Linked DNA regions of Mus musculus. The protein of the gene in region 1 interacts with the protein of each later gene in a pairwise test. Links are inferred from orthologs where the notes say so. Each region holds a gene or a part of one and is shown in the gene's direction. Other genes may lie near its edges.

What was found. The genes of interacting proteins can lie anywhere in the genome.
Region 2: the proteins of Zhx1 (region 1) and Zmynd11 interact in a two-hybrid assay, tested with the Homo sapiens proteins (2 studies listed by BioGRID and IntAct). The link is inferred for Mus musculus from reciprocal best matches to the Homo sapiens genes ZHX1 and ZMYND11.

The regions. Positions count from the first base shown.
Region 1 is NC_000081.6:58,072,830-58,079,244, reverse strand, and holds the start of Zhx1 (zinc fingers and homeoboxes protein 1), read left to right. Parts: upstream 1-2,736; 5' UTR 2,737-3,088; intron 3,089-6,415. UniProt on the Homo sapiens protein: Acts as a transcriptional repressor. Increases DNMT3B-mediated repressive transcriptional activity when DNMT3B is tethered to DNA. May link molecule between DNMT3B and other co-repressor proteins.
Region 2 is NC_000079.6:9,683,701-9,689,627, reverse strand, and holds the end of Zmynd11 (zinc finger MYND domain-containing protein 11), read left to right. Parts: coding exon 1-176; exon of another isoform or gene 177-379; coding exon 380-565; intron 566-2,643; coding exon 2,644-2,766; 3' UTR 2,767-4,792; downstream 4,793-5,927. UniProt on the Homo sapiens protein: Chromatin reader that specifically recognizes and binds histone H3.3 trimethylated at 'Lys-36' (H3.3K36me3) and regulates RNA polymerase II elongation. Does not bind other histone H3 subtypes (H3.1 or H3.2).

The DNA.
Region 1 (6,415 bases):
CCATTAGGGCATATTTCTCAAGCTCCCCTAACTATAGTCAAATGTTTAAAGTGTCTTAGTTTGATGTATTTTTGGTCTGTTTTATGGTATCATGTTTTAAAAACTGCCCCCCCCCAAGGGTAGAAAGAAGAAAAAGAACAACAGAGGGACGTGCCTACAAACAGAGCTGCTGGAAGTCTGTTCCTCAGACCAGGCTGGCGTTTACCACTTTTTATTCCAAGGGCTTCATTTTCTCCCAACACTCTCTTCAGTGTTCCAAAGGTGGGGTGGGCTCTGAAGAGCAAAAGCGCTGTGCTTTTTAGAACCCTACTGAACGACTTCTCATCTCTAACAGGGCTGAAGTCTTGTCATGCTCGTCTGGGGATGACAAGCCGCCAAGTTTGTGCATAAAAACTCTAGGCTTCTCACTGTGCCAATCCGCGGTTAAAACTCACTTCTGGAGCTGCGCAGCTGTTAAAATCAGTCATATTTACAATTTTTATAAATGAGTTTATTTTAATAGAAACAAGTTACCCTGTAAGCGTGGTCTCTAAACAGATTTATGTGGGCTGGCACAATCTGCTATGGGAAACATATATGCATATTGCTTAAGTCTGCAACGTTCTCTCTCTCTCTCTCTCTCTCTCTCTCTCTCTCTCTCTCTCTCTCTCTCAAGTGCTGGTAACAGTCTTGCTTTGTGCAAGGATGCCAGATAATTGGCAGCACTTCAGCCAGGGATACTGTTCCCAGCACTGTGCTATTGAAATTGTTTTCCTGGACAGAAATGCCCTGTGGGAGTGACCTTAAATTGGGAGGCTTTGGGGAGTGAAACAGGCTGGCTGCTTTAGAGAGAGAGGGATAAGACTATAAACTAGTGCTAAAAAGGAGGAATAAGAAAAGGGAAACAGAGAGAGAGAGAGAGAGAGAGAGCTAGAAAGCGAAGTCCATATGCCTCAGCCACTTCAGATTCTCCTCAATTTTCACTTTGATGTATTCTATGAGCATGTGTTTTTGCCTAGCATCTAGTCTGTAAGATCCTGGAAGACAGAACAGAGCCTTCCGGATCCATGGCTTCCACATCTATGATTCAACCAACTGTGGATCAAAATGTTCAGGAAAAAAAAAATCATGCATCTCTGCTGAACGAGTCAACTTTTTTTCTTGTCTCGGTATGTTAAACAGTTACAGTACAGCAGCTCTTTGCCTGGTGTCTACATCATCCTAATAGAGATGAGGTAAATTCCATCGGGGCATGTGCACAGATTATATGCAAATTCCATACCAGTTTATTTAAGGGACTTGAACAACACTCTATTTGGGTATCATGGAGGGTTCCAGAACAATCCCTTTTAGATACCAACGGACAACAGGATGGCCTTACTCAGTTTTACATCTCCTTTAGTGTCCGGCACATGTGGTCCTCAAAAAGCAAATGGTTGAATGCATGAACAAAAGGTTGAATATCTGAATTTAAAATATTTTCTTTGTTCAGAGTTAAATCCTAAACTGGGATTCTCAGTGGACCTGGAACTGTCTTTGGGGTGAGCATAAACTGGTGTGTGTGTGTGTAACTTTTTGTCTTGTATTTTTCTTATGAGGGATACATAAATACATTGTGTATTTAAACACATTGTGTATTAAATACATTGTGGAGAATGCATTGTTTTATTTTACTGATGTTAGTACTGTATTATAAATACTTTCCATTAAACCACTTTCTATTAAAAACTACACTGATTTCTTAAATTCTTTGTATAAGTAGTTTGCATTCTGAATTTAGTTTCAAGGGGCTTGAGCGCTATTAATTTTTGTTTTAAGAATGGGCCGAGAGTGGGACAGGGTTGGGTTCCTCTGCTGGTGAGACCATTAAGCCTCAGCATACACAAGTTTTAGAATTTTAGGATGCAACTAAATATTGTGCACGTTGATATCAGCAGCCAGGTCTTCCCTTCATGTAAATGCAGAGTGCAAATTTTCGGGCTGGTGTGGCTTGGTGGAGCTCTGCTATCAAAACACAAAAGGGTCCATGACTGGAATGGGGGTGGGGACTAAACATCCAGGCGCCAAAGAGTTCTCTTACGTCCGTCCGGAGCGGCGAGTACAGGAGCGAACACTCGGAGTGGTTTCCTTTCGCCCTCGTTTGTTATATTCAATGGAACAATGACGAGAGGGCTGAAGGGCAGAGGTGGGGAAGACGCTGAGGTCCTCGGCTGGCCGCGCTGCGGGGCTGGTGCCCACTGCGGAGAGCTCGGCTTCAGTCAGTGGCTCTCCGGGGAAAGAGGGACGGCAGCAGGAAGCAGAGGCGGGAGGCTCCAAGTGGGGCCACACTTAACTTTTCCCGTCCAAAGCTGGAACTACGGGGCTCCTGCTGGACTCGGGCTAGGAAGAGGCGGAGCAGCGGCTGACAGGAGCGCGGGACTGTTGACAGCGGGTGGGGGCGCGGCTGGCATCCAGAGGGCGCTGCCAAGGAGGAGCCGAGAGTGACAGTGGGCGTGGCTTAGGGAGGGGCGGGGCCTTAGGACGCCGGCTCCGGGAGAGATGGGGTTGGTTTCGGAGGACCTAGGCAGTTTCAAGGGAAGAAAGCGACCGAGGTCGCGGGAGGCGGGGTCCGACTTCTGACGACCGCTGGCCGAGCAATCGCTTGAACGGGGCGGAGCCTCGCAGGCCCTGGAGGAGGAGCTTCTCGCGACGGGGCGTGGCTTCTAGTGACAGAGGCGTGGCCCCCTCCTGACAGGGGGCGTGACTCTCCCTGACAGAGGGCGGGGCGGCGCACACCTCCCGCAGCGCCCGGTTCTAGAGGAGCGGCCTGGGTCGCATCCCAGAGGAGCGGCGGAGTCCTCGAGTGGGGTGCCCGGCTCGTCCCCGCCTCGGCTGGCTCCTCCTCGCGGCCCTTGTGGGTTCAGGGAGCGGAGTCTCTCTCGCACCCTGGCCTGGCCTCTCGGCGCTTCTGCCGGGCTGCAGAGCTCCGTGGGGGGCCCCCTCGCGCGAGGGCCCTCCGAGTGGTTCCGGGGTTAGGGTTCACGGGTCAGAGTTGACTCCCTGAAAAGTGCAGTCGCTCTGAAATGCAAGATGGCGGCGGCGAGGCGCTGAGGCGAGGCGGCCCCTGCAGGTAGCTGCGCGAGCGGGCTGGGGACTGGGCCTCGCGGTTGCGGGTGGAACCCGAGCAGGAACTCGCGGCGGGTAGGGAAGCCGAGAGGCGCGGGCGCTGGCGCGACACGGGACGGGGCAGCAGCGGGACACAGACACCCCCCCCCTCTTCGGGACCCAGCCCACGGTGCTGGGGCACGCAAGATCGGACCCGGGGGGAACTGGGCCTGCCCCGCGGCGGGGCGGACGGAGTCGCAGCTCCCGGATTCTCTCGGGGGTTGTCAGAGCGAGGACGGAGCTCTGGGTGGAGGGTTTGGAGGGAAAGCCCCAGCGCCTTGGTTGGGAGAGCACTGAGTAACTTGGGGGCGCAGAGGGGATGGGGAGCCGGTCTCCCTGGGGGGAAGGACGTCTCTGGGACAGCGGACCCTAACTACCGTGCGGGTCCTGGGGAAGATCTCCAGCGTTGGGCCTCCGGAGGCGTGAGGCCACCTCGTGGGGACACGGCGCAGCCCCCCTCTGAAGAGTCAGCCAAGGATCTCCGGCTGGACTGTAGCGCACTGGCTTTGGGGTCGGAGCAACGGGAAACCTCAGCAGAGAAGACTCAGGAGTTGCATCCCCAAGAAGTATAGTGCGAAGTATATTTTGAGGAAGAGCAGGCTTTTAGGGGAGAAGTTCATTAAAGAGGGTGGAAACACACTTGTCTCTGCTTAGGTAGTGGAGCGGGAGTGCAGACTTGGGAGAGCGATGGACCAGAGGAAACTCCAAGCCTTGGGGCTTAAAGGGAATTGGCTAGGAGGGAATAAAAAGGACTGGGGTCTGATGGCAGGAAAGCCGAGCCCTGACTCATTTCTTGTGTATTTACACCGAAGTTCCAAGAGAGGGACTTAGAATTCTTTGTTTCGGTACTCCAAAGGTACCAGTAAGAAACGAACCAAACGGAAGAATAAGATTCTGTTTGCTATCCTTAGCTTACTCTGGGCAAAGCAATTGGAAAACTGAATGTAGAGAAGAAGCATAGATAAAGTAGGAATGCTCACAGTACTTTTCTGTCACTAACCCTTCTCTAAAAGACAAGACCAAAACAAACCAAGAAGAGATAAAATTTAGGAGGAAATTATGAGAAAGGCCGATTGAGAAGTTGTGACATTTTTAGGGTGGGATTCCATGCAATTCGAAGAAGCAATTCTCTCGGAGATTAATATTATGGCAAATGAAAATCCGGAAGGACCACTCCTTCCCCAGGAAAAGACTGTGTATTGTGGGGTACACAAGTACACCTTTCTATTTGTGGTGCTGGTCATTGTATTTCAGAAGTCTTTGTCCTAACACTTTAATTTGTATGCAGTAGTAATTACCTGTTTCTTTTTAAAATGCCTTGAAAAAGTCATTATTTCAAACTGGCAGTGGGGATTAATAGAAGTTTGTTCAAACAAGGCTACTGGCACATAGATTATTTCTAAAGAAGCAATTCTGATTCCAGATTTTAAGCGAAGGAAAGAAAGGCTGAGTGCTGCCAGGGACAGTAGTTGGGTAACAGGGCATATAAGGAAAAGGACATTCATGAATATTTTTTATCTTAGTTTCTCTCTCCATCCTCCAAGCATTTTAAAAGTATACAGACTAATTTTAGGCAAAGTAAAATGCATAATCTTAGATTTTGTTTTGAATTGAAGTTTCAAAACATAGCCTAGTCTGGCCTTGATGCCATGGCAGTCCTCCTGCCTCTTCCTTGTCAGTGCTGGGATTACAAGTGTGTACCACCATCTCAATCTTAGATACTAATTTTTTACATTTTTGTTTATTTGTGTTTGAGTGCAGTTATGTGCACATCCCACTGCCTGCATGTGGAGGTCAGACGACAACTTTCAGGAGTTCTGGGTAGCAGACTCAGGTTGTCAGGCTTGGTGGTAAATGTTTTTACTGACCAAACACCTCACTGACCCTTAGGCATTTTTGTTAATATAGAATTTATAGTATTTTATTTATCAATGATTTTTTTTATAGAACTACCTCTTGATATGTTTTATTTGACTGCTTAGATTAAAATGAGAAAAAAGCCGGGCATGATGGCACATGCCTTTAATCCTAGCACTTGGGAGGCAGAGGCAGGCGGATTTCTGAGTTCGAGGCCAACCTGGTCTAAAAAAGTGAATTCCAGGACAGCCAGGGCTACACAGAGAAACCCTGTCTCGAAACAAACAAACAAACAAAATGAGAAAAAATAAACTCCAAGAGTCCTAGTGACTTCCGTAACTTATGACAGTCCTGAGCCATTTGTACATTCTCAAAAGAGCTTAATGTTTTTGGTAGAGATGCTTTAAACATACAGGTCAGGTATAACCAGCTTATAGCTCAGCATTTGGAACACCAACTTTAACTATGTGCTGTTCTTTGCTTTTCCCACAGTGCATATAGCTCTAGTGTTATACTCACTTCTGAACAGATTAGTCTGGCAAACCAGAGAGGCATACATAGATACCAGATGGTTTGAAAATATGCTAAGGCTGAAAACATAAATGTGTCTGTGTAGAAGATGCTCATCGGTAGCTTCGTCTCCAAGCATCTGAACTTGCTTGGCTTGAGGGTAGGACACGAAAGATGTCACAGTGGTTTTACCTTTCAGGATTCTTGGTTTTGCTGAAAAGGAGCAGAGGTTTGCTGTCTTACTAATGTAGTTGATAGCATACACATGGAGGCTTGTTTCAAAGAGTTCCTGTTTTGTTTAATTCACACTCATATGGAAAAGTGATGTGATGAGGTATTTTCTCTTTTACTGTCATGCACTCTTTTTTTAAAAGTTTATTTATTTATAAGTGCTCTACTACATGTGCACCTGCATGACAGAAGAGGGCATCAGATTCCTTTATAGATGGCCATGAGCCACCATGTGGGGGCTGGGAATTGAACTCAGGACCTGTGGAAGAATAGCCAGTGCTCTTAACTGCTGAGCCATCTCTCCAGACCCTACTTTCATGCACTCTTTTTAAAAAGTTATAATATTGCTTGTGTTTGGGCATTTTGTCTACATGTATATCTGTGCACCGTGATATGCAGTGCCCTCAGAGGGCAGAGGAGGTGGCTGGATCCCGTGGAACTGGAGGTATAGGCAGATGTGAGCCTTCATGTTGGTGCTGGGAATTGAACCCAGGTCCTCTCTCCTCTGGAAGGACAGCCAATACTTTTAAGGACTGAGCCTCTCTCCAGATCTTGGTCATGTTCTTAAAAGATATTCAGCCTGGCAGTGGTGGCACATGTATTTAGTCTCAGCTTTTGGGAGACAGTGGCAGGTGAATCTCTGAGTTCAAGGCCAGCCTGGTTCAACAGAATGAGTCTAGGGCTAATCTTGTCA
Region 2 (5,927 bases), on another chromosome or scaffold:
AGTTAAGTGCCTCTTCCCCACGAATGCTGCATCGAAGCACTCAGACGACGAGCGACGGCGTCTGTCAGAGCATGTGCCACGACAAGTACACCAAAATTTTTAATGACTTTAAAGACAGGATGAAGTCGGACCACAAGCGGGAAACAGAGAGAGTGGTCCGTGAAGCGCTGGAAAAGGTGGGGCTGTGCATTGCTGGGGGGCGGTGGAGAGTGCAAAGCTTCTCACAGGAGCGGCTGAGCCAGTATTCCTCATAGTTTACATTAGTAATACTTTCTTGCTAACAGCCTTTATGTGGACCAAAATAGTGGGCACAGAGCCTAATCCCAGCAGTGAGGCCTTGTCTATGTGTGGATCTGATCTGTCGCTGTCTTCATTTCAGTTGCGTTCTGAAATGGAAGAAGAAAAAAGACAGGCCGTGAACAAAGCTGTGGCCAGCCTGCAGGGCGACATGGACAGAAAGGGTAAGCAGCTGAAGGAGAAGTGCAAGGAAGAGTTTGTAGAGGAGATCAAGAAGCTAGCGGCGCAGCACAAGCAGCTCATTTCCCAGACCAAGAAGAAGCAGTGGGTGAGTACACCGTCCCCGCTGCTCCTGGGAACACGACCATACCTGCAGTGGTGAGGGCAGCTCGCTCACACGCACGCGCACACGCACAATCACACACGCATGGCCCCCAGAAGTAACCATAACCACAGAGCACTCAGAGCATGCCCTGGAGCCCCTCATAGGCAGGGCACTGCGAGTGCAGTCACCAGCATCTTCCCCAGCAGTGCAGATACTGCTGTGTGAGGGCTCAAGCTCCACTTGGCCGAGTAGTGACGACTGTAGTGACATCTGTAGTGTCCAAGCTGAAACCTGGTGGCTGCCTCCCAACAGGACATTCCAGTTATGGTAGCTTACAGAAATTGCTTCCTCTTGCTTATAGTAAGTGTATGTCATTGGTTGGCAAGTCCCCTCCCTTCAGGACGACTTGGAAGTGTCACCAAGTCCTGTTTCTAAGCCTTTCTTCCCCTTGGGACAGAGCCCTGGGCTACTTTCTCAGCCCCACAGTCCTGTAGGAGCTACCTTGTGGACAATTGTCCCTTGAGCTCCTAACCTGGCTTCAATTTAGATGGTATTCCATATAGCATTTCATGATAATTCTTCCTTTTACCCAACTTCTATTATTAAGATTATGTAAACATATATAAGGTTTTCATGAAGTATATGATAAGAAAAAGTATTATAAAGACTTAGCAAGAGCAACAAGGGCAGGTGGGCACACCCACAGAAGCCTGTGAGGACGCGTGCTGGGAGGGGCTGCTGCCTGAGGAGACAGGTGTCACAGATGGGCCTAGGTGTCAGAAGGCTCAGACACCATGTTGATGACACTAGATATGTTGAGCACATGACTCTAAGGTCACTAGGAGACAGGAGTGCAGTGAGACAGGCGTTTGAAGACTTCTGACACTGAATGTTGACTGAGGTTGCATGAGAGGTGGGGTTGTCCTAAATCAGGATCCAAACCCCAGCTTTCTGCTCTGAATGTTGTCTCCCACCACGGTAAGGACTCACAGGGGGACAGGAAGGAACACACACAGATGTTGAGTGTCAGATGAGAACTGAGGAGTGAAAAGCATGCTGGGAAAGCTGGGTCCCCAGAGCATCTGCAAGAAAAGGGATGAAGGCAGGGCTGTCAGGGAGACCAGGAGATGAACTAAGCTTAGTCTGTAGCCTCAGCCCAAGATTACAATTCCAACCCGAGTGGCTAACCTGTGCTCACTCTACTCCCAGCCAGCGAGTGGTAGGGCAGAAGCTGCCATTGTTGATGTGACAAAAATCACAAAACTCAAAATATTAATTTTGACAAAAACAAACATTGCAACCAAGAGGAAAAGTGGAAGGTTGCACTTTACCAGCCAGTGAAAGAGAATGTTCTGGGTTCTGCTTTGGGACTCTAGGTCACCATCATCATTTTGCAAGTCTGTCAGCCCGCTGTAGAGGACTGCTGTAGTCTCGTGGGTTAGGAGCACAGCCTGGTTGCTCTGGCTTTGCTGCTCATCCTCCCTGCAGACCTCTACAGTGGTGCAGCCACCAGCTCTGCCTGCTTAAAACTCAAGCATGAACTTTCCCCTCATTTCTTCTCCCATGTCTAACAGTCTGGCCTCAATACTAGCCACCTTTGACCCCGCTGACCCTGGTAGAATAGTGAGGAAAAGGTCTCTCTAGGTCTGGGTGTGGCTGTACAGTATTGTGATTCCCTAACACATAGGAGCCCAGCACTTCATCCAGAGCACCCACACAGCAAATGAATGTCCATGTGAGGTAGGGATGGAGATGAGAGTGCTAGGTGTCAATCATGTACATGCAGTAGAGGGATGGGATGTTGGAGGATAGAACTGTTAGGGACTCAGGAATGTGAGGGAAGCACGGCAGGAGGGCAGGGACAGCTGACACTGGAGCTGACGGAATGAATGAGCCTGTGAGACCCGGGCTGATGCAGTGCTGGGAAGACACCTGAGGTCTGATGGCGTGAGATACTCCAGTGTGAATGCCCCTGTGGGCTGGTCTGAGCCAGAGAGCTTTGCAAGCCTTAGAAGCATAGCGGGTCCTGGGCTGTTGATGCTGGCCTCCCTCACATGTGCCCCCTGCCCCCTGCCCTGCAGTGCTACAACTGTGAGGAGGAGGCCATGTACCACTGCTGCTGGAACACGTCCTACTGCTCCATCAAGTGCCAGCAGGAGCACTGGCACGCAGAGCACAAGCGCACCTGCCGCCGGAAGAGATGAGCCTGCCGCCACCCTCACACGCAGCGGTTTTTGTTCCCAAGAAGCCAAAATTGTTTAGAATTTGCTTCCCATTTTGCACCAGCCTTTAAACACTTTTCGTGGTGAAATTTTGCACAGTAGTTTAAATCTTTTGTTAATGCTCCTCCGGCATTTTTCGGGGGCTGAAGTAACATCAATGGAGGGTACTACTCTAAATAAATCTAATTGCGGATTTGTTGCATTTTCAGCAAATTTTAAAACATTTTTAGGTTTTACAGAAATTTTAACCTTTAAACAACAAATCTTAAAAAAACAACGACAGGTGAATAAGAGAGAGTCTAACAGAGACAGAACGGAGCTGAATGTAAGAGCGGATGCTTCAGAACAGACTACCTGGCCGTGACCTTGCTGAGCTGGTTTTGGGCAGCTTGCTTACTGCCTACAGGCCTTGCCTGGGGCTGTGCTGGCGGCATGTGATTGAATATAGGGAACAGGGTTCACACAGCAGGGCTAGCCCTGCGGATTTTTTCTTAAATATTTCCCAATTGTGTTTTCATTATTTCTTTTCAATATATAACTTTTATAACAAATTATTAGCTTTGATCTTGTAGTTTAAAATTGCAGGGAAACTGGGGTAATCTTTTACTGAGCTGGATCTTAGAGAAAAATGAATATTTAAATTTTAAAGTTTGCACATTTCATCTTTGTCCTGACATGAGTGCTTGTAACAAAATCAGCAGCAAAAACAAAAATCAAAAGCCAAAAACTACCTGTACTCAGAACACGGAATTACAGCTGAGGCATACGAGTTTATAACTGAGTCCCCTCCCACCTTCCCTCCCCAGTGCCACCCTAACCCACCCTGTGTCTCCTACTCAGAGGGAGAGAGCACTTGCGTGTCACACACTGCTACTAACAAATCCCTGACTGTACACAGTGAGAATGCATGCTCCGTTCCTTGTATTAAAGATGCCGTGATTTGTACAAAGTCCGTATTCTGCGGGGTGTCTGCTTAAGCAGCGTTACTGGTAGGAATGGATCGATAGTTGAATAACATTTTTTATACATAGATATATAAAAGACAACCAGGAAAATTAAATTTCTTTAAAACTATCTCACCAATTGTTTTTTTTTCTCCTCCAAGACTCATCACAGACCGAACCAAATTCCTACTTTATCCTTTAGTTATTTTTTGAGGTTAGAGAAATAATTTGTAAATATTTATTTAGACCTTTGATATTTATTAAAGCAATTACTCAAAACAGAAGTGAAAGAGTCGGGAGAAAAGCCTTTAAGACAGTTTTCCCCGGTTCATCAGGGTCACTCTAAAGATGAAAGGAAGGAGCCGTCTGTGAGGCCTCCTCCACGCAGTGCCGGTGCTACTGCAGACGGCGTAACTACTGCCACACACGCGCACGGGGCGAGCTCTTTTGTAAAACCAACCGTAGCCCAGGAGCTCCCTCGGGTTATACAGGAACTGCAATAGCTTACAGGCACCACCGCCCCCTCCTCGCTGCCGTGTACCATCACTGCTGCTGCGCTGCCCGAACAAGGACACTTGACGGTCTTTGATTGTTTTCAGACGTTGATCCACCCCTGTGAGAGCAAGTTATTGTGGGAATATTTTTGGTGTAAAATCATTCCAGAGTATGTACTATTTACCTGATAGCTGCATGAACGTGAGGTCCCTGTTACTTTGGCTTCTTGTCTCTGTCGACACGGCTGCACATTTCCAAGTAACTACAGTGTGAAAACTGTGTGTTTTAAAAAAAAACAACAAAAAAAAAATTAAAAAAAGAGATTGTGGCCTGGTTTTGTAAAAGTTTTAGGTAAAATTACAATTGATTGTTTTAGGACTCATTAAATTTTTCTGCAATCCTAAAGCTCTATCAAGGTGTTGAGTGTCCCGCTCTGCACACTGTAAGTACCATTGTGGCTGTCCAGTTCTATGATGCCCTCTGGCATTTTGTAAGCTGCTCTGACTAGCAATATATAGATTTCATTTACTGTGTTAACATTGGTTAATAAATGTATTTAAAAAACCCAACAACTCTTGTCAGTAAGCTGCTTCAGCTCAGTGTCTGCTGCCAGACACAACACAGCTACAGAAAAGCTTGGTCGAGAGCGGGAGTTGCTCATGATGATAGTGAAGCCATGTCGGGAGCTGGGTAAGAGCACTGACTGCTCTGGCAGATGGCCCCTCACAAGCATCTGTCACTCCAGTCCCAGGGAAGCCAGTGTCTTCTTCAGACCTCTGTGGACTCCAGGCACACACATGGTGCACACCGCTATGCAGGCAACACAATTCACACACATAAAAATACAAAAAAAAAAAAAAAAAAAAAGGAAAATGCAAGTTTATCAGGTGCAGTTCTTCACTTCAACATTTATACTGGATTCCATGGGTCACTTCTCAGAAAGAAGAGGGCGAGATCATGTACTTAGGGCTGCTCTTGATGGACTCTGAGCAGCCAGGGCCAGCTTGCTCTCATTGGGTGGCAGATGCTGCTGTTTTACCAGTCTCCGGCCTTCACGCCAACGTCAGCCCGTCTTCATGTAGCTCTGCGTGCTTTCAGCACTGCCGTCTAGTAGTGAGATCACAGTTGGGATGAGATGGTTTCCTCTCCAACTTCCAACTGTCATCACAAAAGATTCTGTTCATGTTGTCTTTGTCACTAAGCAACAAGCTCACCTGTGCTAAACTAAAACACAAGCAAACACCTCATACCCTGGACACCCACCCCAAGTCTGGACTTAACAGTTGTGTTCAGAAAGGTTTTCAACTGAGAAAGCCTTAACTAACAAGTATGAGTCCATAACAGTGCGGACAAAGTGACAGTCTCGAAGCCCAGGCCAGAGCTGAGTCAGTGAGGGCCGTGTGCCTGGAAACAGAGAAACAGCTCACATCTCACAATACTTTCAAACCTGCACAGGACCCTGCACAGAAGTGGACTCCACAGGGAAATGGCTGCATTCTAATACATTAGAAGGAAGTCTTTTAGTCCAGCCACCGATACCCTGGTCTGGCAATCAAGACCAGGAAAGTATAGACAGGTCAATTGAAAGTGATTTAATAATGAACCTGGATGTGCTTGACTGGTGAGTCACAGAACTCAGTCTCAAATTCATATTGGCTTAACTGCAAACTCCATTTTTTAAATGTATCTGCTGTGCTAGACTCT